3 linked regions of the Mytilus edulis genome follow. The protein of the gene in region 1 interacts with the protein of each later gene in a pairwise test. Links are inferred from orthologs where the notes say so. Each region holds a gene or a part of one and is shown on either strand. Other genes may lie near its edges.

Region 1 (7,925 bases):
CTTTGGTCGGGTAATTGGTGTCTTCATGACACATTACCCATTTTTATTCTGAATTTTATTCTCAACAATCTAATGAATCAAATACAACACATTCCCAACTGATGTTTACGCGTTGCTCTTATGTTGTTACACCAATGTACTGGTTTATGAGAGGCTTGAGCTCTCACAAACATGTCTAACCTCGCCCACATTCTAAATGAGCCTGTTCTTGGTCTCAGTGAGCCTGTAGTTCAGTGGTTGCCGTTGGTTGCTGTCGATGTCATATTAGTTTGGTTTGGTTTGTATTGTTTTGTAACAAATAAGTCGTTGATCATCTCTTTCCAATATCGTTGCCGTATTTTGTCATGTCAATGTCTTTTATAGCTGACTTAACGGGGTGGGTGTTGTTCATTATTGAAGATCGTACGGTGACCAACATAGGCTTGGACTTAGCATTCACCAAGTTGTAGACCTACATGCAAAGTAACAAAATTAATCCATTAGTTTCTTAGGTCTTTTATTCCTTCCCCCAACTCGTTACGACGAAATGATAATTAAAGTATTAATCCGCAAAATATTCAGATATATAAAGAGTTTTTGAATATATCTCAATATCACCATGCAGTTATTTTGAACAGAGGAAAATTTTAAACTACAAATTTAGAGTAATTTCACCAAGAATCTGGTAGATGCCAGATTATGCCCTGATAAAAGACTATTTTCTACTGTATTTTGCCGCAGTGTAAACATAATTCTAGTGGACAACTAGATAACACCTGGTCTAAATCGCGTAAAAATATTGTATTTGTTTATCCACTCAATGCAATATGGTTAACGACTAATAAAGACACAAGAAGCCAATTATTTAGTACTGAGACTATTATACTAGACTTATAGTATCTGTTATAGTAGTATCAGTTTAAAATTACAGCCTATTACATTGAGTGTGTAGGCAAAGGTGATATCTTTGGTGTTAGCTTGCTTTCTAGCTGAACCGTAGTCATTATAAGTTAAGTATACTACCCTTCTTTCGAAGTAGCCTAGTCCTACAGACAGATAGATTGGTTATCTGTCGGACTAGTCTACTCTTAAAGGAGGGAAGTTTACCGAACTTAATAATAACTTCACGGTTCAGCTAGCAAACAAGCTAACCAAATATATTACCTTTGTCTACACACTCAATGTAATTGGCTGTAAAGAAATATTGATATAATCTCGGTTACCATGTATGTCTCTGCATCAACAAAGTAAATAATGACAACTTCCCTTTTTGCCGACTTTACTAATACCACTGAAATAATGCGCAGAACTGTGTTGTTGTTTTTTTTTATATCTGCAGCAGACTATTTGTTGTATATTGCAGCATGCATGATCATAATCTGTACCTGTGTCACCAGCAAGTCAACAATTTTAGTCAGTTTTATTTGTAAAGACTCAGACGTACTTATAAATATAATTATTTTCTGTGACTGTATCTTACATTAATTTGTAGGATCCTTTACTATAGATAATTGAGCTGATATGTAACAATAACATCTCCATGCCTTATATATCATGTACTGTAGTACGACACTAGATTAAAACTGACGAGGCAAGGTAACACACGGCCACCAAAAGCTTTATTATTGTGAAGCCCCGATAGCCTAGCGGGACGGCTACAGTGCAGGCGATTTGGTGTCACGATATTTCAGTAGCATGGGTTCGAATCCCGGCGAGGGAAGAACAAAAAATTTGAATTTGCTAAAGCAAATTTACAGATCTAACATTGTTGGGTTGATGTTTAGACGAGTTGTAATTGAAAACTACGTTCAAACCTATGACTGCCAGTGGCCGGCGTAGTCAGGGTTGAAATGATGTGGATGTTTCGCCGAGGGGAGCGAGGCGAAATTTTTTTTTTTACCTTTTTATGCAGAAAAATATTTTTTATTTAAGCACATGTACTCCCCCAGAATCCGACACTAGTTAGATTTTTGTTTAAATTCAAAATACCCACCAATTCATATATTTATATTTTTAACCAAATTTTATTGTTTCCTCGAAACTACCATCATTCAATTCATAAATATTTGATGTAAAGTTTCCCACCCAATCTTATATTTGACATATCAAAAACGGACCTCATTACAGCTGCACTTCTGTAAAATTTAGGAACTTCGGAATATAGGAACTGAAGTGACTTCTCTTTCCAGGAATTTGAGTCTACAACCTTGGGTTTTTGGTTTTTGATTACTGAGCTAAACGCGTTGCAGGAGACATAAAAATACCGGGCGTCCGATCGTCTGGTCTTGTTAGCACTCTCATGTGTACAATTTTTGTTAGATTAAATGAATCTCATATCTTAAGCAATGTCTTTGACAATTTGGAAAATAAGTCGTAATCAAATATTTTTAACCAGTTATGGCCCTTTAAAATATAAATTGTAATGGAAATCACATTTCATTTGCTGTGAAGCTTTTATTTCTCTTAAGATATTGAAAAGAAAAAAGTGTTTTTTTAGTTATGCCTTGTTCCTAATTGCCCTTTGATAGATAAAAATATGACATGTAATGTTAAGCTGCTGCTATTTTTATTTTATTTTTGTCAAAATGATGTGGATGCTGAGCATCCGAGCATACATGCAAGCTACGCCACTGAATTTGCGTTGGATAAAAACCGCAATTTTTATACGTGTGCATGTAAAACAAATTGTATTGTTGAAGGGTCTAAATACAGCACAAACAACATTTTCCAAAAGACCAAAAAAGTGAAAAAGTATATTTAAACAAAGGGCATTTGACTAACAGGTCGAACAACTGATGTCCTTTAACCCTGCTGAATGCCATTGGCGATTGCCAAATAAAATTGATCACAAGATCAGGGGCGTAGCTAGAAAGAAACGATGTGCAAGCAACTACCGCCGAGCGGAGCGAGGCGAAAAATTTTTTGGACCCTTTTATGCAGATTTTTTTTTTTCGGTTTTCGGTCATAGGACGGTTAAAAGAGGAGCTACATGTAGAAAGGACTTATAAACAATTTATGAATGAAAACTAATTATTAATCTTCTGAATAGAGTAAATCATGGTAAATTGAATACATAAACAACACATTTTTGTGATACCAAAATTACTCAAAATTGTCCAAAATCTGCTCTTCGGGTCTAGGCAGAAACGAACTTCTCTATTACTTTGTCAATATTAACACTGAATTCCCGATGAATATGCAGTAATGCTAGCGATGATAACCTGTCGTTGTTCATTGTTGATCGTACATTTGCAAGTTTTCAACAGACGTATTACCTTGATATATCTCCACGGTAGCACCCGCGAGGTGTTATAAATCAACGTACGTGTTCGCCATCGAGCGACCTCCCAATTGAATACGTCAAAATTACATGCCAGGTCAGTTTCGTATGTCTCAGAGATTTCTTCGTTTGTTATATTTCCAACAACACAAGGAAGCAGATACGGCGCAAAGAAGCGATTTTCTAATAATACCAGACGCGACTCCACTCTCCAGTTTCATTATCATATGGTCTATGAACGCAAAATATAATGAGACTTTCCAATACTGTTTTGGCGTGTTTGCAGGGTGATTGGGTCTTGTTGTCTGTCGAACACATCGCCTCAGGATCTGATAAATCTAATGCCGATTGGTACATCTCATTCCAAACAGATAAACCGTACTCAGTAAAATGTGCTCCAAAACTACATGTCTTAGACTGAGTATAACAAATTCAAATCTTGTAAAAGATACAAGTTGCTGTCCGATTTTTTCATGATCTCCAATAAAACTTTTATTTTGAAACCAAATGCCGTTATTTAATGACATTTCATTAATCCAAAAATAGTGACAACATATGTGTTTCCTTTAATCATTTAATTTATATTTTTATTTTGCCATATTTTTTTTTGGATGCCGAATCGATGTGCACGCAACTGCGTGTTAGCGTATATGCAGCTACGCGCCTGAAGATGTAACAAAATGGATCTTAATATAAATTTAATACTAAACAGAAAACAATTAACTTGTGGCCATGATGTAATGCCACAAAACTAAGGTGTTTTTTGTACACCAGATCCGGATTTCGACAATAAATGTCTCTTCAGTGATGTTAGGGATCAAAACGGTATTTGGGAGGCCATATAGAATTTGCCCTCATTTTTAGATAGACTCTTGAATTTTAACAGTCAATATAGGATGAACGGATCATATAAACCGGAGAGAAAATATGATACAAGTCCAAACGAAAAAATATAAACTTGAAGTCTGAATTCAAAACTACGTTCAAACCTATGATTGCGTTGGATAAAAAAAAGTTATGATAAAATTTGAAGGCAATTGTTTATAAAAGGTACAATGTTTAAACAAATGTTTTAAACAATGATTCTAAAAGAATAACACCTATTCAATAAAGAAATAATGAAAACATAAAAAAAATATTTAGAAACAGGGGGTATATTTCCCCATATCGCCCGAGACACTATCAGTACACTAAAATCCTTGATTTAAAGTGGAAAGCGGAAACGTAACAACTATATCAAATCGCAAATTTAAACCATCGTATATTTTTTTTCATTTTTTCCACTTGAGACTATATTAGCTATACTTGCAGGTTTAAAATACTTTTGTCTAATCAGTTTTCAGCCCAACAACAATTTTATCGGATTATATAGTGTATTATAATAAACATTTTAAAATGTTTATGATTTGACCATGGTGATATATATTTGAAAATCATTTCAGTTTTAAAATAATATCACAATTCTATGGATATCTTATTTTTTAGTGTTGGTAGTTATCTTGGATTTGATTGGGATTTTGAAATTATGTAGTTTGAGAACGCCCAAATGTTTATCTGACCCCATAATTCGTCGCGCACCTGGTACTTCCGCTATGGAGTAAAGAATCACATCAATACACATCACCTGCTATTTAACGATTAATTACTTGATTAAGCAGTTAATTAAAACCTGCACGGTCTATTAACTCTTAAGGCAGTTAAAGGGAAGCCTACCTGACATGACACTGGCCATCAAATAACTTGTAAGTTTAAGTTTATGCAATGATAATGACAATACCAACTGTTTGGAGCATGCTAAACTTTAAAATGTTTTGCACTTTTCACTTAAAGTGGAAAGACTGCCACTTGTTCCTGGTAAAAAAATAAACTCCCTTTAAAAATTCCTAAAACTAAAGTTTGTATAGTTTTGTTTCGGTACAGAACTTAACTTAAGCAAGTGCCTGTGAGTGAAATTTTGATAGGCAAGTTGTTTTATTAATATTACTATTAAATACATAGTCTAGATTTCATTAATTTTTCCCTAAGTCATATATTTTGTGTAAGTACATACATTTGCATAAATTACATTTCATGATGCTCTCTGTGTGAACAGTTTTCCCTTTAGATAAAATGAAGTGAGGTGATAATGAACAGATGAAGAAGAAAGTTATAAAATTAAAATCCAAACAATGTCATGTAATATATAAAAAAGATAATTATAAATACAAGCATTTAACATTGACTCAATTTTATTATGATTAGACAGGGTAAACATTTCCCAAATTTGCAAAGGAAATAAATCATCTTGCAAAGTTCTCTAACTTCAATTCAGACAATCAATAACCCACATTTCAACGAGGGCTTACATCTCATTTACCTCGGTTTACTGGAAATTCAGGATACTACTTAATGTAGAAGATGGCTTCATATCTTGATCTTTCCTCAAGTTTGATGTCTTCATACTAGAATCTATGACAAACTTAATTAATTCAACTTTCCAGGTGTCAACTCCCCATTTACTAGTACCAACGTTAACGTTATGTTCTGCTCAATCATAATATGTTTGTTATACATCTCAGTTAATATGTTAAACCTTTTCATGTTCACACTATATGGACTTTATTAGTGTCATGTGTGTACTCCTAACACAAAAGGTGTCATACCACCAATTAAAAGTCCCTATCTGTTCAACCAAATTTTGCAATTTTCACAGCTTTCTAAATATTTTACCTTAAGTTTAACTTCATAGAAACCAGGTATATCCTGAATCGTACATGTATCGGCTTTCTACATGCCAATTTTCAACAGATGTTTAAAATCATATAAAAAAGAAAAGGTCTTCGGAATAGAGATACATTGTACCATTAAAAAACCCCTGGTTTTCTGGAAATCTTAAATTAATAGTATACATGTACTATGGAGTGCATTAATCCTCAATTTTGAATGCAAACTCATAAACAAGTAAATTTTAGCTCAAAATGGTCTTAATATATTTCTCTTTCACCAAAAGTTTCATTTCTGCCAATTTATTGGTTAGTTTAAGTAAACTATGACATCAAGTGTACTATTTTTTGTCTGAGTAGGCCTACTTTCACATACGTTCTAAATTGGAGGGAGTAATTGGTGGTGTGACACCAAAAAATGCTACAACAGTATTATGAAATGTATGAGGAAGAACGACTATTGTTTACTAATTAACGAAAGAAAAACAGTAACATTGCTTTACATAAACCTCAGTCGTCTCAGGGACATTTATAAACAAGCTTTGTAAGTAGCCTAGTCATTTGATTATAAGTGTTATGAATGTTGCTTTCTCAACATTTACAAAAATTTTCGCCTTAAAAACTACTTGGCCAAATTTAAACAATACTTGGCCACAGTTGTCATTGGGGTATCAAATTTTAAACTGTCCAATGACCCTGCCTGCCTTAACCAAGGTCCATTCCAACATGGTTAAAAATAGAAGAACAGGGTGAAATGCAAGTTTTAGCTATTGTATTGAAAACCTGCAATCAATAAAGAAAATATGATAGACAACTTTCGAGTTCGGTGCATTTCCGTCAAAAACTTTAGTTTTAGTGAACGTCATTTGTGCGTTTAGGGGCGTCGTCACTTCCATTCCAATGTTGAGCGAGTGGTTGGAAAACTATAATTCTATATTGTACGAATTATTCGGCAAATTGAATTCTCAAAATTGACAATCAGCATTGCTGTCATTAGGGAATTGTCATAATGTACCTACAGAACAACCATTATTTCTAGTTTATCCTGCACAAAGACGATCACTAAGACGCTTGATGAACGTAAATAGTGCAGGGATACAGGCGACCCCCTCTATCTGGTAAATGACGTCATTAAGGCGCGTATAATTGACGAGTTTTTGCCGGTGACGGATGAACTCGAAAGTGGTCTATTGGTAAAAAATGTTCAGAATGTCAAGCTTGACCTATTGTCCATTTATGTCAAAACTGCCAGATGACTTAATGCCCTTAATGACAAAAAGACAAAATTGAAATTGGAAATATGCCAAAAAGACAACAACCCAACCAAAGAGAAGATAACATTAGATAGAATTTTTAAATTTAAAAAATGTTCAACACAACAGGATCTACAAATAAACCAAAAATAGATCTGAAATGTTCGGTCTATTCTTTATAAAATTATCGCCCTTTATTGACGATTACCAAATTTAGCACTTTTGTTTATATCTTAAATAAACTAATAGAAACTTTAAGGAGTAAAAATGATCAGCAAGACAAAATCAACAAAAAAGTCGAAATTGTTACATGAATCCCTATTGAAGTTATTGCCCTTTTGATTTACGTTTTTTTCACATTTTTGCTTGTTATTTTAAAAGTAATAGATAGATACTGTAAATAGCATGAATGATTAGCAAGACAATTTCTACAAATAAGGCTTACATAATTAATCTTCTGTTGACTCATTATTGGAGGTTTTGCCCAGTATTTAATGATAATTTACAATCATGAACAAAAGAAGATAACTGCAAATAAAATTTTAACTTGCAAATTGATTAGTTATTACAATTCAATCTTTTATTTAAAAAATTAACAAAATTGCAAAATAAAAATTATCTTTAGCTTCCTGTGCTTTGAATTGAATTTTCTTGAAAACTTTAATAGATAAATACATGTAGAAACTTAAAAAAATTTATCAGCAGGTAAGA
Region 2 (7,914 bases), on another chromosome or scaffold:
TTTCACTGTACACATAATAATACACCTTTGCTTTTAAAACTTTTTGACTCCTGTGTAAAACCAGTCCTTCTCTATGGAAGTGAATTGTGGGGTCCGTACATTCTTAACCTGGACAAAAGATTAACACAAGGTTCAAATGATGATTTAGAAAAAACTTTTTTAAATTTTGCTCCTGAAAAGGTTCACATTCGATATTGTAAATATGTACTTGGTGCCACTAAATATGCTCCTAATATTGCCAGTATGGCAGAACTTGGTCGTTATCCAATCTCTATATTTGTTATTTTGCAATCTCTTAAATACTGGCTATATTTGTATAAAGACCCTCTTTTGAATTTTTCAAAATTAGCATATAAGTCAATCAAAAAAGTTGATTGTACCTTTCCATGTACCTTCAATAAACACATTTTTAAGTTTCTAAAATTAATTAATTTTGACCATGTTTGGAATAATAAAGGAACTATGTCAGAAGGAAAACTTATATCTGCAGTGAAAAAGATATTACAAGAAAGATATGGAAATTACTTTTTCTCATGTTTGTCAGATGAAAAGCAAAACAAACTACGAACATATTACAAGTTAAAAGAGGAATATAAACCTGAGACTTATACAAAGTTAAATATCCCAAAACAATATGTTAGACAATTATGTAAATTAAGAATTTCTAACCACAGTTTACACATTGAAAAAGGCAGATATAATAAAACGCCTTTGGATCAAAGAATATGTACACATTGTATTGATAACAAAATTGAAGATGAGTTTCATTTCATATATATGTGAATGCAACCTCTATCACGAGGAGAGGGAAATGTTTTATGATGACATTGTTAATATTATACCATGTTTTTGCAATTTAGATAATTTTGATAAATTTAAATATTTAATGAACTGTTCGGAGACTGATGTTCTCACCAGTTTTCTTATATATATAGACAAATGTATTTTGATTAGACATTCATCAGTGGGAATAATTGCATAATATTGAAATGTGAGTTTTGTCTTTTGCTTGTTATAAGTGTCAAAATTGTTGTCTGTTATGTTTTATTTTTGTTTTGTATATGTTTTTTATATGTGTTTATGTGTTTCAGCAATGATCCTTTTGTACTGGATTTTATACTGGGGGTGGGGGTGGGGGTGGGGGGGGGGGTGGGGGCAAGGGGTTTAACTGTTATGCTGTTATGGGGCAATTTTATTCTTTGTTATCTGTTATTTTGAAAATATATTTGCTGTTAGCTGTTATTGTCTTATTCTTTGTTAGCTGTTATTGGGCTTTTAGTTTTTTTGTTATCTGTTATTGTGATAATGTATTTGCTGTTAACTGTTATTGAAAATTGGAATGTTAGCATTTTTTTTGACAGTCAATATTCGGTATAAATTGAAGATCATTGGCCATTGGGGTCTACCACTACTAATATGTTTGTCCCGTATTCAGAGAAGGATTCCATTAACATATACCCATCACAGAAGTGAGGTCCAGGACAATTATGATTATCCTTTGTAATAAATTCCATTTTTTTTATGAATGTGTATTTAGAATTATCTTAATTTTTTGTATGAGAATAATGTTCCTTGTTTTCCGTACGAACATATTAAATTAAAACAATTTTTAATATGACAAAAAGGAAAACATATGGCCAGGAATATCTGACAAGGATCTCAATTAAGGACTAGGTCCTAACAACCACTTAACCTTTTATATAATATTGTACATAGACTCAGCTCTGTGATTCTTTTCAAAGCAGAACCAAATGCATTGTACAATGAAAGTTCCAACCATGTACTTGGGTCCGAAGCTGCACATAACTCATTACAAACAAAGATTTATTTCGTTTCAAGCCATTGTTTCCCTACTAAACTATGTATTCTACTTACTAGTACACTTGGTACAATCAAAAACCTCAGCTGATAAAAAATTGTTCAAAAAAGGCCTTTGAAAATAGTGGAATTAATTGCTTTTAGAGTGTCAAAATTCGTTCGAAGTACTTGATAAATTGCATGCTTATAATTGGTGCTTTTGATTTTTCTACTCTATATACCACTTCGCCTCATAGTTTTATTAAGAAAAAATCACACACCTCATTAAATGGTCATTTAGAAAAATTCAGAATATTCAAACTCTTTTAGGTCACTTTTTTGATTAGCAACAAAGGGAGCTTCAGTCAATATATATAAACAATACACCAACAATTCATGAGAACTGCTGAAAACATTTTTGAGTTAATGTCTGAAAACTGGAAAATCACCCCTTTTTAATTAATAAAACCCGTTAACTCGGAAACGTAAAATCTAAAATTTATAAAAATTGAAAGTTACCTCATGTTAATTCAACAAAATTCCTTGCTTTGTGAAAGCATTTTTGAGATATTATCAGAAGACTGAAAAAAAACCACCAATTTTATTGAATAAAAACCCATTATCCAGAAACTTAAAATCTAAAATTTATAAAAAAAAAAAAAGAAAAAAAAAAGGGAGCTCACGTCAATAGATATAAACAATTTCCCAAAGTTTAATGCAAATGGTTAAAGAGTTTTTGAGTTAATGTCCGACATGTTGACAACAGACGGACAACAGTATACCATAATACGTTCTGTAAACGAGCGTATAAAAAATATTATTTGAGGAGTAATTTAAACACATTCTAGTTACATAAATTAATACTAAAAACATAGTCATAAAAAATGGAACGCATTACAAAGGATTATATCCGCAATAAGAAATACTGATTTGTCAAAGACCGAATTATTTTAATATTTCATTTACTGTTATCTGTTTTTGTCCATTTTAATTCCTTGTTATCTGTTATGAGCCAAATCAATTTGCTGTTTTGCTGTTATTGGGACCCCCTTGCCCCCCCTCTATACTGAATAAAATTAGTTAGTTAGTTAGTTAGTTACACAAAACCAAAAACGTTAAATATCTTTCAAAGGTGTAAAAGGCTTTTTTTTTCTGTTTCGCTCTACACAATGTTTATCATTGCAACATATGCTTTGATATCGTAATTTACCTTTTTCTAAATGAAGCGGTTCAACATTTATCGACGCCATGACTTCCTGGTTGCAGTTGTTTCCCCTTGGAGGGAAGGTCTATTAACAGGACAGATAAAACCAGGACACTTTTTTTCGATACGTTTTTATCTGTAACTTTTGTTTTACTCAACACATGGTTAAAATTTTAATTGTATAATAAAGAAGAAAGTATTTACTAACATTATTAATAAAAAAAACATATAAAAAAAATTAAGAAGTAAGAAAAAATCTGCCAGGACAGTTATATTTTAAGAAAAAAATGGCTGAAATTGCCGTGAAAAGTTTACTTATAATTGGAATATTTTCTCCAAAACAACTGTCTGGCATAATATTTTGGTACGATTGTAAAGTTTATGGAATATCAATTATAAAAATCTATAATTTTATTTTTTTTCCATCTCTTAAAGGTAAAAAAATCTGCCAGGACAGTAGACTTTTACATTAGAAAGTTTGTTGAAATTAGTTCAGGATCAAAATATAAAGTTGAATATCTTCTTCAAAATAAATGTCTGGTAAACAAATGTTAGTTCATTGGAAAGTTTAGAATATACGCTTTATGATAATATAAAATTATATGAATTTTTATGTCATTAACGTAAAAAAAATCTGCCAGGACAGTAGCCTACTCCATTAAATTTTAAGCTAAAAACGGCTGAAATTGCCGAGAATTTTTTACTTATAATTGAAATAAATTCTCCAAATCAACTGTCTGGCATATTATTTTTGTATGATAATAAAGTTTAACAAACTTTTATTTCTAAAATCTACAATTCAATATTTTTTTCGTCTTTTAAAGGTAGGAAAATCTGCCGGGACAGTAGACTATTACGTCAGAAATTTTGTTGAAATTAGTCTAAGGTCATAATATAAAGTTTAATATCTTCTTCAAAATAAATGTCTGGTAAACAAAAGTAGGTGCATTGTAAAGTTTAGAGTATAAGCTTCCAGAAAATATAAAAAAATATGGACTTTTATTTCATTAACATAAAAAAAATCTGCCAGGACAGTTGCCTTATGCGTAAAAAAATTGGTAGAAATTCGCTTAAAATCAAATTAATCTTTTCTTCAAAATTAATGTCTGGCAGGAACAATCATGTTTATAGGAAAGTTCGAATATTCAGCTTTATGGAAATATGAAAGAAAGAAAATACAATTATCTGTGTGTTTATTTAAATAATATTTACTTATTTGCTATGTTGAATAATTTGATCTATTTTCAGATTTATTTATTAAAGGCAGCAGACATATCGTTGAAAGGGCATGGGCTTATATTTTATTAATCAAAAACATTTCAATTATACACATACATATATATAAAATAAATAATCATGCAAAACAATAAAAACCAAATAAAATAAAAACTATAATATCCCAAATTAAGTTTTGACAGTAATAAAAACTTCAAAGTCACTGATTGGTGTCAAATCATCAAAGGTGTTTATTCACTAATTAGTAATGTGTTTAGAGCAAAGGAATGTGTCACCATCTTTTAATCCGGTACATGAAAAGTGTTTCCATTATATGGTCATTTTTATAAATTTTCTGTTTACAAAACTTTGAATTATTCGAAAAACTAAGGATTTTCTTACCCCAGGAGTAGATTACCTTAGCCGTATTTGGCACAACTTTTTGGAATTTTGGGTCATCAATGCTCTTCAACTTTGTATTTGTTTGGCTTTTTAACTATTTTGATCTGAGCGTCACCGATGAGTCTTATGTAGACGAAACGCGCGTCTGGCGTATAAAATTATAATCCTGGTACTTTTGATAACTATTTACACCACTGGGTCGATGCCACTGCTGGTGGACGTTTCGTCCCCGAGGGTATCACCAGCCCAGTAGTCAACACTTCGGTGTTGACATGAATATCAATTATATGGTCATTTTTATAAATTTTCTGTTTACAAAACTTTGAATTATTCGAAAAACTAAGGATTTTCTTACCCCAGGAGTAGATTACCTTAGCCGTATTTGGCACAACTTTTTGGAATTTTGGGTCATCAATGCTCTTCAACTTTGTATTTGTTTGGCTTTTTAACTATTTTGATCTGAGCGTCACCGATGAGTCTTATGTAGACGAAACGCGCGTCTGGCGTATAAAATTATAATCCTGGTACTTTTGATAACTATTTCCAACTGTTGCATTTTTTAACACCTTTTTGCCATTCACATCCTAACATGTCTTCTACTGAATCACATTTTCCACACTCACAGTTACATTCTACAACACTGGTTTTATATTTCGGTTTACCTTTCATGCTAATTTTTTTTTTTGGAAATGGAATAAATTCACCTTTTTCCAAACAAATCACAAGATGTTCTCTTAAAAGTTCAGTGTCAAATTCTACATGTATCCCACCTGAAAAACTTGTAAAACAAAATTCTACAGCATTTGCAATTGCAAACAACCCACAATCTATGGAATTAGTTTGTTTCTGAACTTCTGGTAACTTGACCAAAAGCCTTTTTTTACCATGTGAATATATTTGTGAAAGCTGTATTTCTGAAGATGTTGTAAGTGTGTCATACACGCTGTCCAATAGATAGACTTCATTTGATTGTTTGGTTAAAGAAGTGACCCAGTGTGAATGCCCTGTATGGTGAATTTGTACAGCTGGAGCCTGTGTAGGTGTAAAACTTGTCTCAGAAAGCCATTTTTTTTGTTGATTACAGAAAACTGGAGCATAACATGTGTTCTGAAAACCATGGATTAATGGAAACTGTTTTGAAAGAATGTTTTGTGCATAATTAACAATGTCGGAAGTTAAGCACTTACTATCTGAAATAGTTTTTTTGTCTACTTGTGTAAGTGTACCTATCCATGGTTGTTTTTTTTTCCTGTTCAATTTCAATCGAAATTGGCGGAGATGGAAAGTCAAGTTTTCTCTTTTTGACCTGGTGGTGTGTCATCTAATGTAATTATGTTATCCTTTTTTTCGTCTGGTGAAATAGGACATGTATCAATTTCTTCCTCGCTAACAGTCTCCAAATTAAAGTGAAGTTTCTTTTTAGAATGTGGTGTTTTTGATTTTGTTTTTAATGCTGATTTCTGTGGTGATTTCTGTGTTGAATGTACTTGTGAAGGTGTTTTTGGTGTGTTGACTAAATAAGCCGAGTCTGGAGCTGGTTCTACAACAGGATCGTAATCGTTTTGCCTAGGTTGTTTTTTTCCTGATTTTTTGTCAACTCTCTTTCTGTTATTTTTTGTTAAAACTCTTAGACTAACTACTGGTCTTTTTTCAATGGGTTCTTGACCAATGCTCATTTTTGCTGCAAGGATATGAAAGCATGTAGTAGTAGATGGACACTGACAAGTTTCCTTCGGAAATAAAGTGACACAATACTTACCATTTCGACCTTGAACAATGAAAGCTGCTTGAGATGGAACAAGTGTGATTAGGTTGTTGTCAACTATATACTTTGCCAAAGCGTGCTGACTACTAACAAAAGCAGGAAAGTCAAACATAGTATTAATGACTGGAGTGTCTTTTTCTTTTGGTGTGGTGGGTGTACTATGTTCAGTTTTAGAATCGGATAGATCTTCCACTGTTTCTGTCGTTTCAGCAGACGGAGACGACAACTGTGGTGTATTTATGTGTGCTGTTTTCAGGTACGAAATTATATCGGATGGTGCTATGAGTTTCTTAGGTATGAACAAATCGTGTATGTCAATTTTTGCCCTCGAAAACTCTGTTTTTAAATGATAGTCCCCAACACCTGCCAAACCTCTAAGAATCTCGTAGTGATCAAAATTTTGTAGAAAATGAAAACCCAAAGCAAGCATATCAACTGGTAACTCTTTCCAATCGTTTTCTTGTTTTAAAACAGCGTTATAACTTTCTGACAGATTGTTTGTGATACCTGAGTATGGGTCATATAAACCTTCAAACTGTTCTAAAACCCATTTTCCTGATCTCTCTAAAATATCAGTTTTTAGCTCTTTTTCAAAATATGACACAACTTCGGATGTCCATTTAGATGTCAGATCTTTGGAAAGCTCTAAGAATTCATTCTCAGAGTCACATTGAAGCATCTGTTTTAACTGATGATGATATAGCCTGATATTATCAGGAGAAACTTTTTTTTTATTCAACCAGTACTTAAAATCGTTTCGTAAATGATTCCAGCATGTAAGTATAGGACAATCAGGCAAAATATTTTTAATAGCTTTTCGTATACCAGCTTCTCTGTCCACTACAATGGGAATTCTTTTTTTGGAAATTTTCGGAACAGCAAATTTCAAAAAGTTAAATAAAGTCTCGTGAACACTTCCAAATTTTCTATCATGAATAACAAAAGCCAAAGGAATAAGAGGTGTCTCTTTGAAAAGAATATGTTTAAATACTATGGCCGAAACGTAACAATCACCTAGGTTGAATGTGGTGTCATAAGATAAATAAAGCTGTTCATCAGATTTAACATCTAAGAGTTGGTTAAATTGAGTGATGATTTCTGGTAAGCTTACAACAGCCACTAAATCTGGGTAAAGTGTTAACTGTTTCACGAACCCATCTAAATGGGAAGATAGCTGAAAAAAAATATATAAATCATCTCTACTCAATAACTGATCACCTCGCCGCTTCTGAAGTGCATTCTTTACCTGTTTGCTATTCCTAGGATTAGCTACACCTTGCATGTTACCCTCGACTTGTTCAGAACATACCATAGTCCTATATAATTTTTTGGCACCCTCACTACCTACATGGTCCTTTACCTTATCAATTACTGATGGCATTGTTCTTTTGAACTCACCATCATGTTTGCTATTACCATGTGCCATAGGTGTATATATCGTCTCATCGCCAATGTAATGAACCAAAACCAATGTAGGTCTATTTGTCAACCAATAGCCGACCTTTTTGAATTTTAATGAAAACCTCGGTCT
Region 3 (7,781 bases), about 1.3 Mb from region 1:
TAAACACATCAACTATAAGTAGAAAACAACGAAACAACAGAAACACTGAAGTGCAACAACAACAAAAAACGACAATGCAATACACACACAGAAACGAACAATAAGATAACAACTGCCATTTTCCTGACTTGATACAGAACATTTTAAGAGAAAAGAAAATGGGTTGAACCTGGGTTTGTGGCTAGCCAAACCTCGCGCTTTTATGGCAGTGTTAAATATAACATTAAAATGACAAAATTACATGACAGGACTACTTTTTAAATAAATGGGAGAACATATAGGACAGTTTTTTGGGAATATGCACATATCAAATTTCAGTTAAAGTACAACAATGACACAAGGTATAAAGATATTGACAAATATTGTCCCATGTTTAAACTTACGTAAAAGCATGGTATCAACGAATAACTTCTTAAACATTTAAGCAAAAAGTTTTAATGATTTACTTAAAAATCTTACAGATTGGTGGAATTATCTTAATGCTTTTGCTTCATTTTTAAAAAGAATTTGATTATGTCCAAGTACCGACTGGTACTGATGTGCTTCAATACTATCTTTATTAATAATTCTGATCAGCTTACATCCTATTTTCTTGGTAATTCAGATAAACTTCCATCCTATCTTTCTTGTAAATTCCGATGAACTTCCATCCTATCTTTCTTATTAATTCGGAGGAGCTCCCGTCCCATCTGTCTTATTAATTTTGATGAGCTTCCATTCTATCTTTCTTGTTAATTCAGATTCCATCCTATTTTCATTTTTTTTATCCTGATGAGTTTTCATCCTATCATTATTGTTTATTAAGATAACTTCCATCCTAATTTCTTGTTAAATTGGACCCTTGATCTTTTTTTTTTGTGGATTCTGATTGACTTCCATCTCATCATTATTGTTAATTCGGATGAGTTTCCATCTCATCATTATTGTTAATGCGGATGAGTTTCCATCTCATCATTATTGTTAATGCGGATGAGTTTCCATCTCATCATTATTGTTAATGCGGATGAGTTTCCATCTCATCATTATTGTTAATGCGGATGAGTTTTAAACTTATCTTTCATGTTAATTCAGATGAGTTTTCAACCTATTTTATTGTTAATCCAGAGGAGCTTCCAACCTATCTTTATTGTTAATTCGGATGAACTTCCCTCCTATCGTTATTATCAATTATGTTGTGCCTCCATCCCATTTTTTTTAAAGAAATTAAAATGAGCTTTGAACCTATCTTTATTGTTAATTCGGATGAGTTTTCAACATATCTTTCTTATAAATTCAGATGATTTTTCAAACTATCTTTATTGTTAATCCAGATGAGCTTTCGTCCTATCTTTATTGTCAATTTTGATGAGCTTTCTTGTGACTTTTTTTTTATAATTCTGATTTACTTTCATTTGATCTTTATTTTAAATTCGGATAAGCTTTCATCTTATCTGTATTTGTTTATTCGGATGTTTTTCCTTCCTTCCTGTCTTTCTTATTTATTCAGACCAGCTTCGATTCTATCTGTCTTGTTAATTTAGATAAGCTTTCACCCTATCTATCTAGTAACTTCGGATGTGCTTCCATTTTATCTTTTTGGTAAATTCGGATGTGCTTCCACACTATCAGTTTTGTTTATTCTGGTGGACGTTCATTTGTTAGTTCGGATGACACCGGTGTCATAAGGTTTATCGATAAAATTTATCGTGAAAGGATAACTAATGGTGGTAAAGCATTGCAATTGAATCGTGAAAGATCTGGTATTGGATCGTGTTATTTCTGCTTCTGTGAAAAAAGTGCTGTATTTTCAAAAGCTGGAAGAAATCAGAAAAAAAAGTCTGTCAAAACGATTTAACTTGCTTAATAATACTGCGCAATAAGTTAAAGACAAGTTGCAGTACTTGTTTAAGATAACACAAGATGACATACAATCCTGTAAGAATCATTAAGAAAATATCACGTTTTGGATCTAAAATGGTCGCATTTCAATATATAATGATATATTTGAAAGGTGAAAAATAATATTCAATGTGTTTCAGAAAGTCAAGTTAAATAGAACTATATTATTACTTAGCAAAAAGGTTCATATTATTTTTGAAAAAGCTTAACGATGCGTGACCTGACTCAATAATCAGAAAACAACATTTCTTTTACCAATAGACATACACGTACTACGGGGCGCCGAATGGGACTCTTGTGGTTTTGTACTCAAAATTCAATTTTGTACGGACAAAAGTGACTTTTGTTCAACAAAAATAAGTTCAGTTTAACAAAATTTGTATCATACTACAAATTTAAAATTTTGTCATACAAAATTATCTATCAGCGGACAAAAGTCACTTTTGTCATGACAAAATTCATTTTTGTTACACAGACTTGAATTTTGTTACCTAATTTGAAAATTGGGTGACAAAAGTCAATTTTGTATTCAAATTAGTTTAGTTTGGTTTCTGTGAACTAATTTGCATACAAAATCGACTTTTGTTACACAAAATTGACAAAAATGAATTTTGTCTCAACAAAATTGACAAAATTGACTTTTGTCTCAACAAAATTGACAAAATTGAATTTTGTCTCAACAAAATTGACAAAATTGACTTTTGTCTCAACAAAATTGACAAAATTGACTTTTGTCTCAACAAAATTGACAAAATTGACTTTTGTCTCAACAAAATTGACAAAATTGACTTTTGTGAGACAAAATTGACAAAATTGACTTTTGTCTCAACAAAATTGACAAAATTGACTTTTGTCTCAACAAAATTGACAAAATTGACTTTTGTCTCAACAAAATTGACAAAATTGACTTTTGTCTCAACAAAATTGACAAAATTGACTTTTGTCTCAACAAAATTGATTTTTGTCTCACGAAAGTCAATTTTGTCACATAAAAGTCAATTTTGTTGTTACAAAATTGAATTTTGTCGTCACAAAAATGAATTTTGTCGTCACAAAATTGACTTTTGTCTCAACAAAATTGACAAAATTGACTTTTGTCTCAACAAAATTAACAAAATTGACTTTTGTCTCAACAAAATTAACAAAATTCACTTTTGTCTCAACAAAATTAACAAAATTGACTTTTGTCTCAACAAAATTGATTTTTGTCTCAACAAAATTGACAGAATTGACTTTTGTCTCAACAAAATTAACAAAATTGACTTTTATCTCAACAAAATTGACAAAATTGAATTTTGTCTCACAAAAGTCAATTTTGTCTCACAAAAGTCAATTTTGTCTCACAAAAGTTAATTTTGTCTCACAAAAGTTAATTTTGTCTCACAAAAGTTAATTTTGTCTCACAAAAGTCAATTTTGTCTCACAAAATTGAATCTTACCTCACACAATTGACTTTTGTGATTTAATTTCCATATCAGGTAACAAAAGTCAATTTTGTATGCAAATATGTTTATATTTGCATACCTTTTAGACAAAATTGACTTTTGTCATGACAAATATGAATTTTGTCTACAAAAATGAATTTTGTCATGACAAAAATGAATTTTGTCTACACAAATGAATTTTGTCATCACAAAATTGAAGTTCTCACAAAACAAGTCTGTAGCACATAGTTTTGTAAGACAAAAATGATTTTGTTATGACAGAATTGAATTTTGTACAAAACCACAAGAGTCCCATTCGGCGCCCCGTACGTACTTGTAATAGGTAAAAGCGTGTTATTATTTTTCATCTAATAAGAAAACGAAACTCATCCATATTAACAATAAAGATAGGATAGAAGCACATCTGAATAAACAAGAAAGATAAGATGAAAGCTCATCTGAAGAAAAAAAACCAGAAAGATAAGATGGAAGCTCATCGAAATTAACAAGAAAATAGGATGGAAACTCAACCATATTAACAAGAAAGCTGGATGACAGCTCATCCGAATTAACAAGTAAATAAGATGGAAGCTCATCTGAAATTACAAAAAAGATAGCAAGCAAGCTCATCCAAATAAACAAGAAAATAGGATGGAAACTTTTCCATATTAACAGGAAAGATCCGATAAAAGCTCATCAGAATTAACAAGAAAGATACATATTGGCAATCCTCTATTTTTAAAATAAACTAATTGTACAGTGGGACTTTGGTGAAAAGGCGCCCTTTTTGTACACAGTTTCAATGCCAAGATATATAGGGAAGTGTTATTTTTTTATCCTTTTATGACGTTACATAAAATCATTTGAAAATTTAACTTCATAAATTAAACAGTTGTAATAAGCAATAGAAAGGAAATTGCATCTTGATTGATGGTCATAATTTTATTCAGTATTGTTATCGTGTTTAGTGTTTCCTGTTAAAGTGAATAGGGATAACTTATTTTTTGGAACTGGATTCATAGAAAAATATACTGAAAAATTCAAGTAAAAACAACTTCTACATTTGATTAATATTGAATTTTCCGAGCAAACTGCTATTTAAAAAGACAAATTATATGTTCTACAAAAAACGAATGGTGCAATTTAAATGAACCAGTTAAATCATACAAATTAGTAAATCAATAGTTAACCAAACAAAGCAAGTCTAACATACACCTTTACCTTCATGAATAAATAATTGAATATAGCTTCTGTAAATCGATTAAACAATCTCGCGCAAATGATCGTTTTGCAGTCTCCAATAATAATTGATTCAATCATGCAAATATTTTAAAATCATATTTTTAAAACTCCCTTTACATCTAAATTTTGCATTGATTGAAAGAATTGATAAAAATTGCCTAGACTTTTATCAGAAACGGTTACGGGTGTGCGACAATAACAATATAGGCGACGTTACCATAACAACTAACATCATATTATTGTAGAATGGCTGCGAATTAGCAGTATCAAACGAACTTGTCAGGTGCTTCGTCACCTGTGCGACACATGCGCAATAATAACAAAATGGTTATTAATTATTAAACCGATTTGACCATGTACATAATATCGAAAATTAAAATAAACATGACTTAGACATGTTAGGAAAAAATGTTTTTTGGACCAGAATGTTCTTTTGAACCAACTGAAAACGGAAATTTTATTAACAGTTGACAAATATGGAATTATGGGTTAATTTGTGTACAAAATTTTCTATTGTTCATTGTTTTCTTCATTATCCATAAAAATGCCAGGTGCAAGGAGGGGCCTTGTGGCTCCACAAAATACGTTTTTGGAAAACATTATTCGGCGATCCAATGGACAGCGTAAGTTAAAAAACACACGTAGTCTGTCTTTCTTTTGGTGTTTTTCTCTTTTCAATTATATTGTATCTAGTTGTTGTGATCTTTGTTGTTTATTAAGACCTTTTTTTGGTATATTTGTATTTATTCCATTGACGTTATTTACTGTTCTTCTGGACACGTGTATACGGAATTGAAAAGGAGCAGATAGAACCTTTAAACATCACGATCCGTTTTCATTTGAGGGAGACAACATAACACACTTTGGATAAAGATACCGTGTCTGTCGGCTTTTATTTGGTAATAAAAATGTTGTCAAATATTTAGTTAAAATTAAAATAATTTAAGTGATTCAAATTGACTTGAGATATATTTTTTATAATATATTTTCTGTAACGAAGAACACACATGTGAATCTGATAAATAATGAAACAGTACATACATTTGAAGCGGAGACATATATTTCTGGTTAGAGCATGTTCATTTTCAAATAGCTGATTTCATCGAAATAGACGGATAAAGATATTCCGAATGAAATTGAACCTTAAGAAAGTGTTTCAAGTAAAAAGTACAAACATCTATCGAATTCGAAATTATCTTTAGATTGTAAACGATTGGCTTAATAATTAGTAAAGAAGAAAAAAGTAACGAGAGAAAGAGGGAATTTTGAAAAAAAAGTTTCATAAATGTATACTGCAATACCAATATGACCAGTAAGTCATACAGCACAACACAATTTCCTAATGAAAATTTGTAGGAATAATGTTTCAAAAAGTGTTTATAATGTCGACTTTAAAGTTTTACAAGTATGTTTTACCTGTTGGTGACCTTCTGCTGTTGTCTGTTCTATGGTCGGGTTGTTGTCTCTTTGACACATTCCCCATTTCCATTAATCGATATTTAAGTAAAACAATACTTGAAGATTTAACTTATTACAATTCTAAAGACAACACAACCGAACCTACTGTTATCTAGAAGTATACATGTGATAACCGTCTTATTTCTTTCTCTCATACGGTTTAAACCATCAATCATAATCCCTGTTCTTTCCCTTCCTTCTCTCCTTTCATGCTGTTTAAATCATCAACCATAATCGTTGGGTTTCCTTCTTTCTCTCCTTTCATGCTGTTTAAACCATCAACCATAATCGTTAGGTTTACCTTCTTTCTCTCCTTTCATGCTGTTTAAATCATCAACCATAATCGTTGGGTTTCCTTCTTTCTCTCCTTTCATGCTGTTTAAACCATCAACCATAATCGTTAGGTTCCCTTCTTTCTCTCATTTCATACTGTTTAAATCATCAACCATAATCGTTGGGTTTCCTTCTTTCTCTCCTTTCATGATGTTTAAATCATCAACTATAATCGTTGGGTTTCCCTTCTTTCTCTCCTTTCATACTGTTTAAATCATCAACCATAATCGTTGGGTTTCCCTTCTTTCTCTCATTTCATACGGTTTAAATCATCAACTATAATCGTTGGGTTTCCCTTCTTTCTCTCCTTTCATACTGTTTAAATCATCAACCATAATCGTTGGGTTTCCCTTCTTTCTCTCATTTCATACTGTTTAAATCATCAACAATAATCGTTGGGTTTCCTTCTTTCTCTCATTTCATGCTGTTTAAATCATCAACCATAATCGTTGGGTTTTCCTTCTTTCTCTCATTTCATACTGTTTAAATCATTAACCATAATCGTAGGGTTTCCATTCTTTCTCTCCTTTCATACTGTTTAAATCATCAACCATAATCGTTGGGGTTTTCCTTCTTTCTCTCCTTTCATACTGTTTAAACCATCAACCATAATCGTTGGGTTTCCTTCTTTCTCTCCTTTCATACTGTTTAAACCATCAACTATAATCGTTGAATTTCCCTTCTTTCTCTCCTTTCATACGGTTTAAATCATCAACCATAATCGTAGGGTTTCCCTTCTTTCTCTCCTTTCATACTGTTTAAATCATCAACCATAATCGTTGGGTTTCCCTTCTTTCTCTCCTTTCATACTGTTTAAACCATCAACCATAATCGTTGGGTTTCCTTCCTTCTCTCCTTTCATACTGTTTAAATCATCAACCATAATCGTTGGGTTTCCCTTCTTTCTCTCCTTTCATACTGTTTAAATCATCAACCATAATCGTTGGGTTTCCCTTCTTTCTCTTCTTTCATACGGTTTAAATCATCAACCATAATCGTTGGGTTTCCCTTCTTTCTCTCCTTTCATACGGTTTAAATCATCAACCATAATCGTAGGGTTTCCTTCTTTCTCTCATTTCATGCTGTTCAAATCATCAACAATAATGGTTGGGTTTCCCTTCTTTCTCTCATTTCATACTGTTTAAATCATCAACCATAATCGTTGGTTTTTAACGTCTTCCTCTCATTTCATACTGTTTGAAACGCCAATCATAATCGTTAAGGTTTGTTCCGAAAAGGGATCTAAAATCGTATCTTATAAACTAGCTCTTTTTTTAGTGTCATAGATAACATTTATTCGTTTAGTGTATGTTTTGATTTAAAACATGGTATATGCTGTTTGAATTATCTCTCAACAAGCATCAGTAATGCCACCAAAATTTATCAAAAATAAAATGTCCATCATTACAGTACAAACCTTACGTATCTATTGTTAACCTGTTCTCG

The links.
Region 2: the proteins of peripheral plasma membrane protein CASK-like (region 1) and protein lin-7 homolog C-like interact in a two-hybrid assay, tested with the Drosophila melanogaster proteins (2 studies listed by BioGRID). The link is inferred for Mytilus edulis from reciprocal best matches to the Drosophila melanogaster genes CASK and veli.
Region 3: the proteins of peripheral plasma membrane protein CASK-like (region 1) and voltage-gated delayed rectifier potassium channel KCNH1-like interact in binary tests that used the Drosophila melanogaster proteins (3 or more experiments, as listed by UniProt). The link is inferred for Mytilus edulis from reciprocal best matches to the Drosophila melanogaster genes CASK and eag.

The regions. Positions count from the first base shown.
Region 1 is NC_092346.1:104,008,416-104,016,340, reverse strand, and holds the start of peripheral plasma membrane protein CASK-like, read left to right. Parts: upstream 1-4,830; 5' UTR 4,831-5,001; intron 5,002-7,925.
Region 2 is NC_092350.1:93,079,397-93,087,310, reverse strand, and holds the start of protein lin-7 homolog C-like, read right to left. Parts: upstream 3,081-7,914; 5' UTR 3,048-3,080; coding exon 3,008-3,047; intron 1-3,007.
Region 3 is NC_092346.1:102,702,077-102,709,857, forward strand, and holds the start of voltage-gated delayed rectifier potassium channel KCNH1-like, read left to right. Parts: upstream 1-4,777; 5' UTR 4,778-5,088; coding exon 5,089-5,167; intron 5,168-7,781. UniProt on the Drosophila melanogaster protein: Structural component of a potassium channel. Mediates the potassium permeability of membranes; potassium current is regulated by CaMKII and CASK. Has a role in growth of the perineurial glial layer of the larval peripheral nerve.